2 linked regions of the Coturnix japonica genome follow. The protein of the gene in region 1 purifies or fractionates together with the protein of each later gene. This does not show direct contact. Links are inferred from orthologs where the notes say so. Each region holds a gene or a part of one and is shown on either strand. Other genes may lie near its edges.

Region 1 (4,314 bases):
TTCCTCCCGGGACACAGGACCTGCTGTTGCCTATAATGGCACTAAGCAGTATGTTCACAAAACAAAGGATGCATGACCAAGGCAGAACCCCGAGCATCCTCAAATGGTTTTGGCTAACTGCTGATAGAGAAAAATCAAAACAAAACAGAGCGTCTGTAGCTCAAACATCATGTTTCCTACCATGAGGAAATCCCATGTGCATCGCAAGGAGTCAGAGCCAGACACTCCCGTGGCCAGAAGGGAGTGGAGATAGGGCAAGTGAGTACAGACAAGTTCCAAAAATCCAGAGGAAAGCCTTACTAACAGATCTGTTTTCATGCACCAGTCTCCCAGAAAACACACCCTTGGATAGTATTTGGGTGAGCTGTTCCTTAAAGACAGAACTTACACCCATGATGAGAAGCAAAACAGATTAAACCCGCTGTGTACAAATGCTTATTCCAGCCTTCAGCAAGGTCAGGAAGAGGCTCGATGTCTGAAACACAACCAGACTGCCTCAGGTAAAGGTAAATCACATAGAAATGGCCACCAGCCCTGGTGTGCTTTGCAGAATGAAGCCATTTCATGGTGCAGTGCTGTGTTTGACAAGACCCCGCAACAGGATGGCAGCTCACCAGCAACTTTTCCGGGAAATGAGAAGGACTGTGTTTTTTTTTAAGCTTGACTTTTTAGGTTGCCAGGAAGTTGCAGTCAGTTGCGATCTGCTCCTTCAGCAAACATCAACTGCTGCGCCAATACAGACCTGGTGGTGCATCATCCCTTTTGATGTCATGCTTGGGTAACTGGGCACAAGCTTTGACCTCACACCTAGCAGTTCTGCTTGCACACGGCTGCACCAGCAGTGGCTCCTCACCCATCTCCTTGTTACTCCTAAATTGGGGTTTTTTGCTGTTCAGATCAATCTTTATTTTTTCTCTCGACGGCAGAATGGCTGCCTGAAAACACACAGCAAATCAGCCTATCTGTGGCCTCTTTGCTCTGCAGGGTGAAAACCCTCTCCTCTGTGGTTTTACAATAGAAGTATTCACTATAAAGTTGCAGCATTTCACATCTACCGCTGAAAAAGCAACCCACCCTCATAACTACTTTGGTTGGAGGTTATTCTCATGCTTGCACTCACAGCATTTACCAGCTGACATCTCAGGACAACCTCATCAGGATTTCCACTTCTAGGCCAAATTATCCCCATCTGTGCCTGAAGCCTGACTGCTCACCCCCTCTGTCTGTAGCAGGAGTGATGCTTCAACCCACACACGGGGCAGAACACATGCATGGGATGCTCTCCCAACCACATTGTGCTTCCCATGGTGCTGGCATCCCATGCCTCTGGCTTGTGCAGCCCCTTGATCTGTCAGCAAGGGGAGGTTTGCCAGGGCAGAGCACTGGGAGCAGGACTCAGTGTCCGCTCCATGCTTGCTGCTTGTGATTCCATGACTAAAATTGGAGGGCAGCACAAAGAGATGATTTGTTGTTGTTAATTCAGCTTTCTGTGGGTATTCCTTCTGCTGGAGGCAAGAAATGCTAAGATAGCCATTCCGGGATGTTCCCGGGCTGGATTCGTGCCTGATGCTGGTGTAAACCCATGAGAATAAATCCACTGACATCAGCCAAGAGAGCAGCAGAACCAAGGGAAGAACTGAGTTATTCTGTCACTGCCTGAGCCAGCAGCGCTGGTCCCACAGCCAGAACAAGTCATTGGAGCGATTTATAGCATGGTGGCATGAAAAGTGCAGCACGAGTTGGACTCTGCTTTACCTTCATGTTTTACAGCTCGCCAGAGATGTCAAATTAGGGACGTGGGATGGCTTTTCATTTAACAATTAGGCAGTTATTTCTGCCTTCCTTCCCCTGAGTTATAGGGGCCCACAAAACCACATACTTTCTGCATCTTCTGACAACAGCAGAAACCAGCAGTTGGACTATGGCGGCTCTTTCACAAGTTGCACACACTGCACAGGAGTGTTTTAGTCAGCAAGTGGTGCAACGGGTCCATCCCACACTGCAGCACGGATGCATCTCCAGATCCATCTCCAGTTGTGTTCCCAGACCTCAGCTTCTTTCTTACCCCTCAACCTTCACTTCCAACATGTTGCTGGCACTCCCACATCTCCACAATGCAAGAGCAATATTAGACATCGTACACATGCATGTGAGACCTGAGAAGCTGTTCAGGTGCCCACTCCCAGTAGGACTCATTTATGGCTAACGAAGGGCACACAGGCCGCAACCCAGCAGCGCCCATTGCATGCAGCCACCAGCTGGAAGCACTTTTGTGCTATGGATTTCATGGATGCCGGCGGATAATGACAAACTTTCAGTCCCCACCACGCTGGGCTGCCTTTTGGTCTTCCTGCTGTTGTGGCCCTTTTGGAAGAAGCCCTTATTCTCACCACAATATTTGGGGAGTTAAGCATGGGGAGAACAAGCCAAGCTACCAGTGCTGCATGTCCCGGAGCCCGCAGCCTGCCCTTCCTCGTGCATCAACAGCAAAACCTCGTAGGGTGGAAGGGAAGAAGGAATAACCGGGTGAGCAGACGCGTGGAGGAGAGGAGCCGCTCAACTTGCCAACAAATCTGTGGCATCACGGGGCCGTGAAAAGCTCCACGTGCAAAAGCACGACAGCCTTCCCCAAAGGAGGAGGAGGAGGAGGAGGAGGAGGAGGAGGAGGAGGGCGGCCGCTGACAGGCACCCGGCCAGCACCCAGCTGGCTCCCGTTGGAAGCACAACACGCAGCAGGACGCAGCACCCCAACACAGCAAGTTGTACAAGCCGCTGGGCTGGGGATGCTGCGGCAGCATCAGAGGAACCCCCCGATCTGGGACCGGCCACGACGCCCCTCCCTGTGGCTGAGCTCCGAACCCGTCCCTGTACTCACTTGCTCCATGGTCGGGACCGGCCGCTCCTCGCCGCCCGCTCAGGGGCTCCGCCGCCGCCGGCGTCCCGCAGCCGGGCAGGGGGACATTCCGTGCTCTGCCTCCGCACCAACTTCACGCCGAACAGCAGCAGCAACAGAAACCGAGAGACAGCGCCGGGTTTCCGGCAGCTCCGGAGCTGCGAGCGCGGCCCCAGGGAGGCGGGGATCCCCCTCCTCCGGCCCCGGCCCCGCCGCCGCCTCGCCTGGCCCGGCCCCCGCCTGGCCCAGCCCCGGCCCCGCAGCTCCGTGAGGCCGCGCCCGTGGGCAGCGTAGGGTGGGAGATGTCGGAATGGAGGGACCGGGGTCAGTGAGGAGGCTGGGATGTGGTTCTGGGGTCACATAGGGTGGCAGCGCTCAAGGGAAAGGGTGCGTGTTATAGGGCAGGGTCTGCAGGGTGTCATATGGACAGTAGGGATGGAGCGGTGTCTAAAGGGTGGGAGATGGACCAGAGGGATGGGACAGGGTCTAGAGAATGGGACATACACCTTAGGGGTCTGGAGGATCAGGCATGGACTGTGGAGGTGGGATAAGGTCTGCAAGGTGGGAAATGTGCCACGGAGGTGGGACTTGGATTGTAGGGGTGAGACAGGGCACCCAGTGTTGGGATGTGAACCTGGAGCCCCTGGTCTGGGGCAAAGAACGGTGGTGTCAAACAGGTCCCTGAGGGTCAACCACAGCCCCCAGGATCAGGCTGTGGTCTCCAGCATTCAGGCCAGACCCCGCGGTGGGATGGGACCCCTGGAAGTGGAGGCTCATGAGGGTCAGGCAGGGGGCAGTTTAGGGCAGCAGTGCCCCAGGAGCAGCAGGATGGGGTGCAGGGTGCAATGCTCAATCAGGCACCATTTGGGCACTGAGCTTCTCAAAGTCCTGGTGCACATCCTGGGCTCCGTGGGCTGGCACTGTTCCTTGGAGCAGCGCAGTGTCCTCAGGATGATGTTTGCTTTTGGCAATGCCCAGGGGAAACAGCTGGAAAGTGGTCCTCAGTGGCAGAACTGGTTAACACTACTAGTCACGCTCCAGCTATTGTTCTCTGCTGGTATTCAGCTCCACAGACTTCTGCTTCTATTTCAGTCCTGCTGAAGGGCTCGTGTACCCTGCAGCCTGCCTGTTTTTTTTTCCTAATTATTTCAGTCGGTCTAAAAAAAGATATTACCTCCCTCTGCAAGCCTTGTCTCCATTGTTCTCAGTGGGGTGAGAAGAGAAGGAGAAGAAAAGCATTGATACCTCCAGGTTAAATACACTTTTTCACAGGTATCTCTGCTTGCTCCACTTTGCACAGGGTCCAGTCTAAGACAGAGCTGAGAGCACGCAAACAGCAATTAGCAGTAATGAGAAGAAACACCTGATTGCATCTCCTTCATATCAGCTTGGCTGTGGCTTTGGCAGAGGCTCCGGTCTCA
Region 2 (4,236 bases), on another chromosome or scaffold:
AGAAAAGCTTTGTAATAAATAAACAAACATAACCTACCAGCAAGCAAACCCTGCATCACAGCACAGCTAGATGGACCAGGGAGGTGGGAAAAGGTTTATAAAGCCCAGACATTCATTGCTCCTTCACACACATGGTTTTAAGTGCAATTTTCCCTCTTCCTTGCTGGAAATGGCAAAGGATCAGGAAAAATGGGCACATTGGAGGCAATTGCTTTGGACCCTGTGCACCAGGGGAAGAGAGACAAAGGTTTGGAGGGGCACTGCAAACTCTTCAGAGCTCCTTACATAAATCAATTGGAAAGAAATTACAATGCACAGTGTCTGAGTGACAGCTCTACAGTGTGAATTAGAGTGAGGAACCATTTGGATGTGACCAAACATACCTCCAAAGGGCAGGCAGGAGAACGCTCCATGCACAGCCTGCAGCTCATCAGCCATCCTTTGCATGGGAAACTCAACAGAGAAGTCCAGCTGATTAATGCAGAACATATCTTTCCCAAAGAGAATCATTGAGCTACTAATGTAATAAGCACTAAAAATAGTAATTCAAAAGAGTTAAACTGTGCTTTCATTCCGGTTTATTCCCAGATGTTAACTAATAAGATATCAGCACATATATTTACCATATGAGGAAATCCCATCTGAAGATCTTGTGGTTCAAATATTCTCAAGCCAAAGATTTATCATCACTGCAATGACAGTATTCCCTATCCCAGCAATACCCGCCAATTTGATTTACTTGGAGAACTTGGCTTTTAAGACAGCATTTATCTAAGCTCACATACGTGGCTAACAAAACATGGACTCTACAAAATAACACGAACGAGGATTTCTTAGATGGTACAAGGACTAAAGGATGTGCTGTGGGCACTGAAAACTTTCCCTGAGCTGATGCCATGAGTTTCAAGAGTGACACAATCACAATCAGAGACTCAGAATTCAGGGAGATGAAAAAGTGTTTAGTTTCACAAATCTTACATTGCTTTGGTATGAACCACATAAAACAGCAGCTGTCAGTGCCAGACCTATTTTAGTTCCTTCATGCTACATTTGAGTATTGTCTACAAAAGCAATAGATCCTGGGGATACTCTAAAAACCAGAAGGGAACTAAAGTTGAAACTGGGTGCCAGAATTGCATTGTCTGCATAATGCTGATTCTAAGAGCAAGGCTTTATTAACACATCACCACAGCTCATTTGTCTCCTGTAACCAAGCCCAGTGACCTTTCTTGCAGTAGGCCTGCATAAACCACACTCCACTTGCCCCACTCAGTGAACAAACCTTCGGGTGTGTACACAGCCACCACAACACACAAATAACGGGGCAGCTGCCACAGGTTCCTACCTGAAGTCCACCCAACAGCTGAGCCTAGCACAGTACTGGAGATCCTGGTCAGGTTTCTCCTGTACCCAATGCTTTCCATGACTAAACATGAGAAATCAGAAGACAGCAAAAGCTTACAGCACTCAAAAAACTCCTAAAGGGCTTGTGCTCTATCTCCCCTAAGGAGTAACGAAGTCACACACCTCAACTGAATCATTCTTACAGCATACTTCTGCATTCCCTTAAAAGCAGCAGGTAACACCACTGTCGTTTTACATGAAGCCTGCTTGTTTTCCTTCAGTTCTTTCTCTGTGAGGATTTTTAAGTTAGGACAGTTGGTTGGCCTCCTGTCTAATAAATCCTGCAGCAGGTCTTGTGTACAAAGACTTCAGCCAGGGCTCTTGGTCTAACATTCACATGTGAAGTTAGATGCTCCATCACGCCAATCCCACGCTTGGGTGCCAAGCACAGCTTTGTTCCAACAGGCACAGAATCTTGATCATAAGCTTTCTTCACCTTCCACTAGAAATCAAACATCTTCATCCTGTGCCATATAAGCATTGGGACCACCAGGACCTTCAGCCTCCAGAGGAAAGGATAAGATATTGCCTCTGAAATTCTTACAGTTGAAGCAAAGGATTGATTACTAAACCAGTCTTTACATGTAACCAGGTACATTTTGAACCTAACTATATTTGAACAGTCCTAAAAAACATCAAACCACAAATTCCTGAGCAGTACCAAGCACTGGAGCAATTACAGCCCTCCAGGTACGCTGTATTACAGGGGCTCAGTGGGCACCCCGCCAGGCAGGCTGGGCACAGCAAGACATCTCCACCCTTAGGTGCTGGGTGAGCCCATAGGAGATGAGACCCCAGGGGCTGCACCCCCTCCACGCACAGCACCAAAGGGAAACCGAAGGTTTTGTCCCTTGGGTGAACTTGAGTTAAAAGAGGGAAGATTTAGGTTGGATGTTAGGGGGAAGTTCTTCACTAGGAGAGTGGTTAGGCCCTGGAACAGGCTGCCCAGGGAGGTTGTGGATGCCCCGTCCTTGGAGGTGTTCAAGACCAGGTTGGACGGGGCCCTGGGCAACCTGATCTAGTAAAGGTGTATGTTTGGTGGCCCTGCCAGGCAGGGGGGTTGGAACTACATGATCCTTGAGGACCCTTCCAACCCGGGTCATTCTGTGTGCACTCACCCCCCAGCACATCGCGGCCAGGCTGCGCTACACGGCTGCAGAAGCCAGACACTCCAACCCTCATCGTGTGAGCCGCACACACCGCAGCGGTGTCTGCCCGGGCAGGCTCGGCCGCCCCGCACGCCGCCGGTTCCTGGTTCCGCACAGCTGCGGTGCGACGCGGGGCTGGAGGCAGCGCTCCGGCCGCCAGTCCCGGCTCCGTTCGAGCCGCCAGACCCTGCGTTACCCCAGGCCCTGCCCCACCGCCCCCCGCGGGCCCTGCCCCCACCGCCTCCCCCCGGTGCAGGCCGCAGCCGGGGCCTCCCTCACCGCCGCCCCGTGGGAGGGAAAAGGAAGCGATAGGGCCCAGCTGCGGGGCTGGAAGCGGCGGATCCCGCACGGTGCTCACCATGGCGGCTCGGCGGGGCTGCGCTGGGCGGTGGCAACGGCGGCGCCTCCCGGTCCGCTCCGCTCCGCTCTCCCTCGTTCCGAGGCAGGCCGCGGCCCTTCCACTTCCGCCGTTGCCTAGGAGTGAACATCCGGGTCATCGCCCCGCCGGCCCCGCCCTCACCTCACAGCTCAACCAATCAGAGCGCGGCTCGCCGGCCATCGCCAAGTATGGAGCGCTGCGCGCGGACGGGGCGGGAGAGAAGCGCGGGAGGGGCGGGGGGAGCAGCGCCAAGCAGCCAATGGGGGGAGACCGGAAGAAGTGCAGCCAATCAGGTGCAGGGGGCGGAGCCTACCGGAGCGCGCCGGCGCGCCGCTGTGGTGGTGGTTGTACTTTGCTTTCCTTGGTTTGCTGTAGAAACTGGAAATGCTGTTAAGGGCAGTCATGTATCGCTTCCTGCTGTGATGCAATGCTGTGAAAGCACGGCATTACTGTGTGCATTTGTAATAGAACTGATGCGTTCTCTAAGGGAACGGCTTCATTTTTTCCTGGGAGGTGACATTTTGTGGTACATCCACCCGGCGGGTGACATCCAAGGCCAAGCTCTTATTTTCCACTCAGCCATTATCACAGATGGGTTTTAGTTCAGTTTTAGTAGCTCTCAGATACCAGGCAGAACCTTCCAAGAGATGCCAGCTCAAGCAATACAAGCACCTTCTATTATCCAGCCCTCAATCCTTCCAGAGGTCCCTACCAGCAGTAATTAAAGGCTGCCTTCATCACTCCAATACATTATTCCTTTCTTTAACAGCGTTCCGCACATTAACATGAGCTGGGAGCACAGAGCAGATAAAACATACATTCTAAACTTCACAACCTTTGTTATAAACCCATGCAAGCTCCTCAACGGCTGTTTTGCTTTTAGGTCTTAATGAGCAAAAAAGGTTTCTACCCTCTTGCTGAACACAAAGCAAAAGCAGATTCATGCAGCCTGTGTTAAACAGTTTGAGATCTGAACGAACATCGATGCCAAGAGGATGTTTTCCTTACAAGAAATACAAGCATCCTGGATTTTGTTTCCCTGCTAATAGGTATAAAGCAACAGAAACAGCTGCTTTTTGTTTGCCCCAAAATATTTGCATGAAGAAGAAGATCTGCGGATTCCTTTGTGAAATGGATGTAACGTCTTTTCCAATGAGGACCAGCTGCTTGCTTTGCTTGTTTATAGCAGGGAATGCTTTTGTTTGTTTATGAAGATGTAGGAGCAAGCTCTTCCTGGCAAGCTGCAATTTGCAGCGTGGAGATCTCAGCTGGTTGAAAGCTCCCTGCGTGGAGCTACAGTTCTGG

The links.
Region 2: the proteins of PLEKHO2 (region 1) and CAPZB purify together in Homo sapiens (affinity purification with mass spectrometry; 3 studies listed by BioGRID and IntAct, counting the BioPlex papers as one, with this or other methods). This does not show direct contact. The link is inferred for Coturnix japonica from reciprocal best matches to the Homo sapiens genes PLEKHO2 and CAPZB.

Annotation. Positions count from the first base shown.
Region 1 is NC_029525.1:16,009,927-16,014,240, reverse strand, and holds the start of PLEKHO2 (pleckstrin homology domain-containing family O member 2), read right to left. Parts: upstream 3,107-4,314; 5' UTR 2,885-3,106; coding exon 2,876-2,884; intron 1-2,875.
Region 2 is NC_029536.1:4,122,353-4,126,588, forward strand, and holds the start of CAPZB (F-actin-capping protein subunit beta), read right to left. Parts: upstream 3,045-4,236; 5' UTR 2,914-3,044; coding exon 2,911-2,913; intron 1-2,910. UniProt on the Homo sapiens protein: F-actin-capping proteins bind in a Ca(2+)-independent manner to the fast growing ends of actin filaments (barbed end) thereby blocking the exchange of subunits at these ends.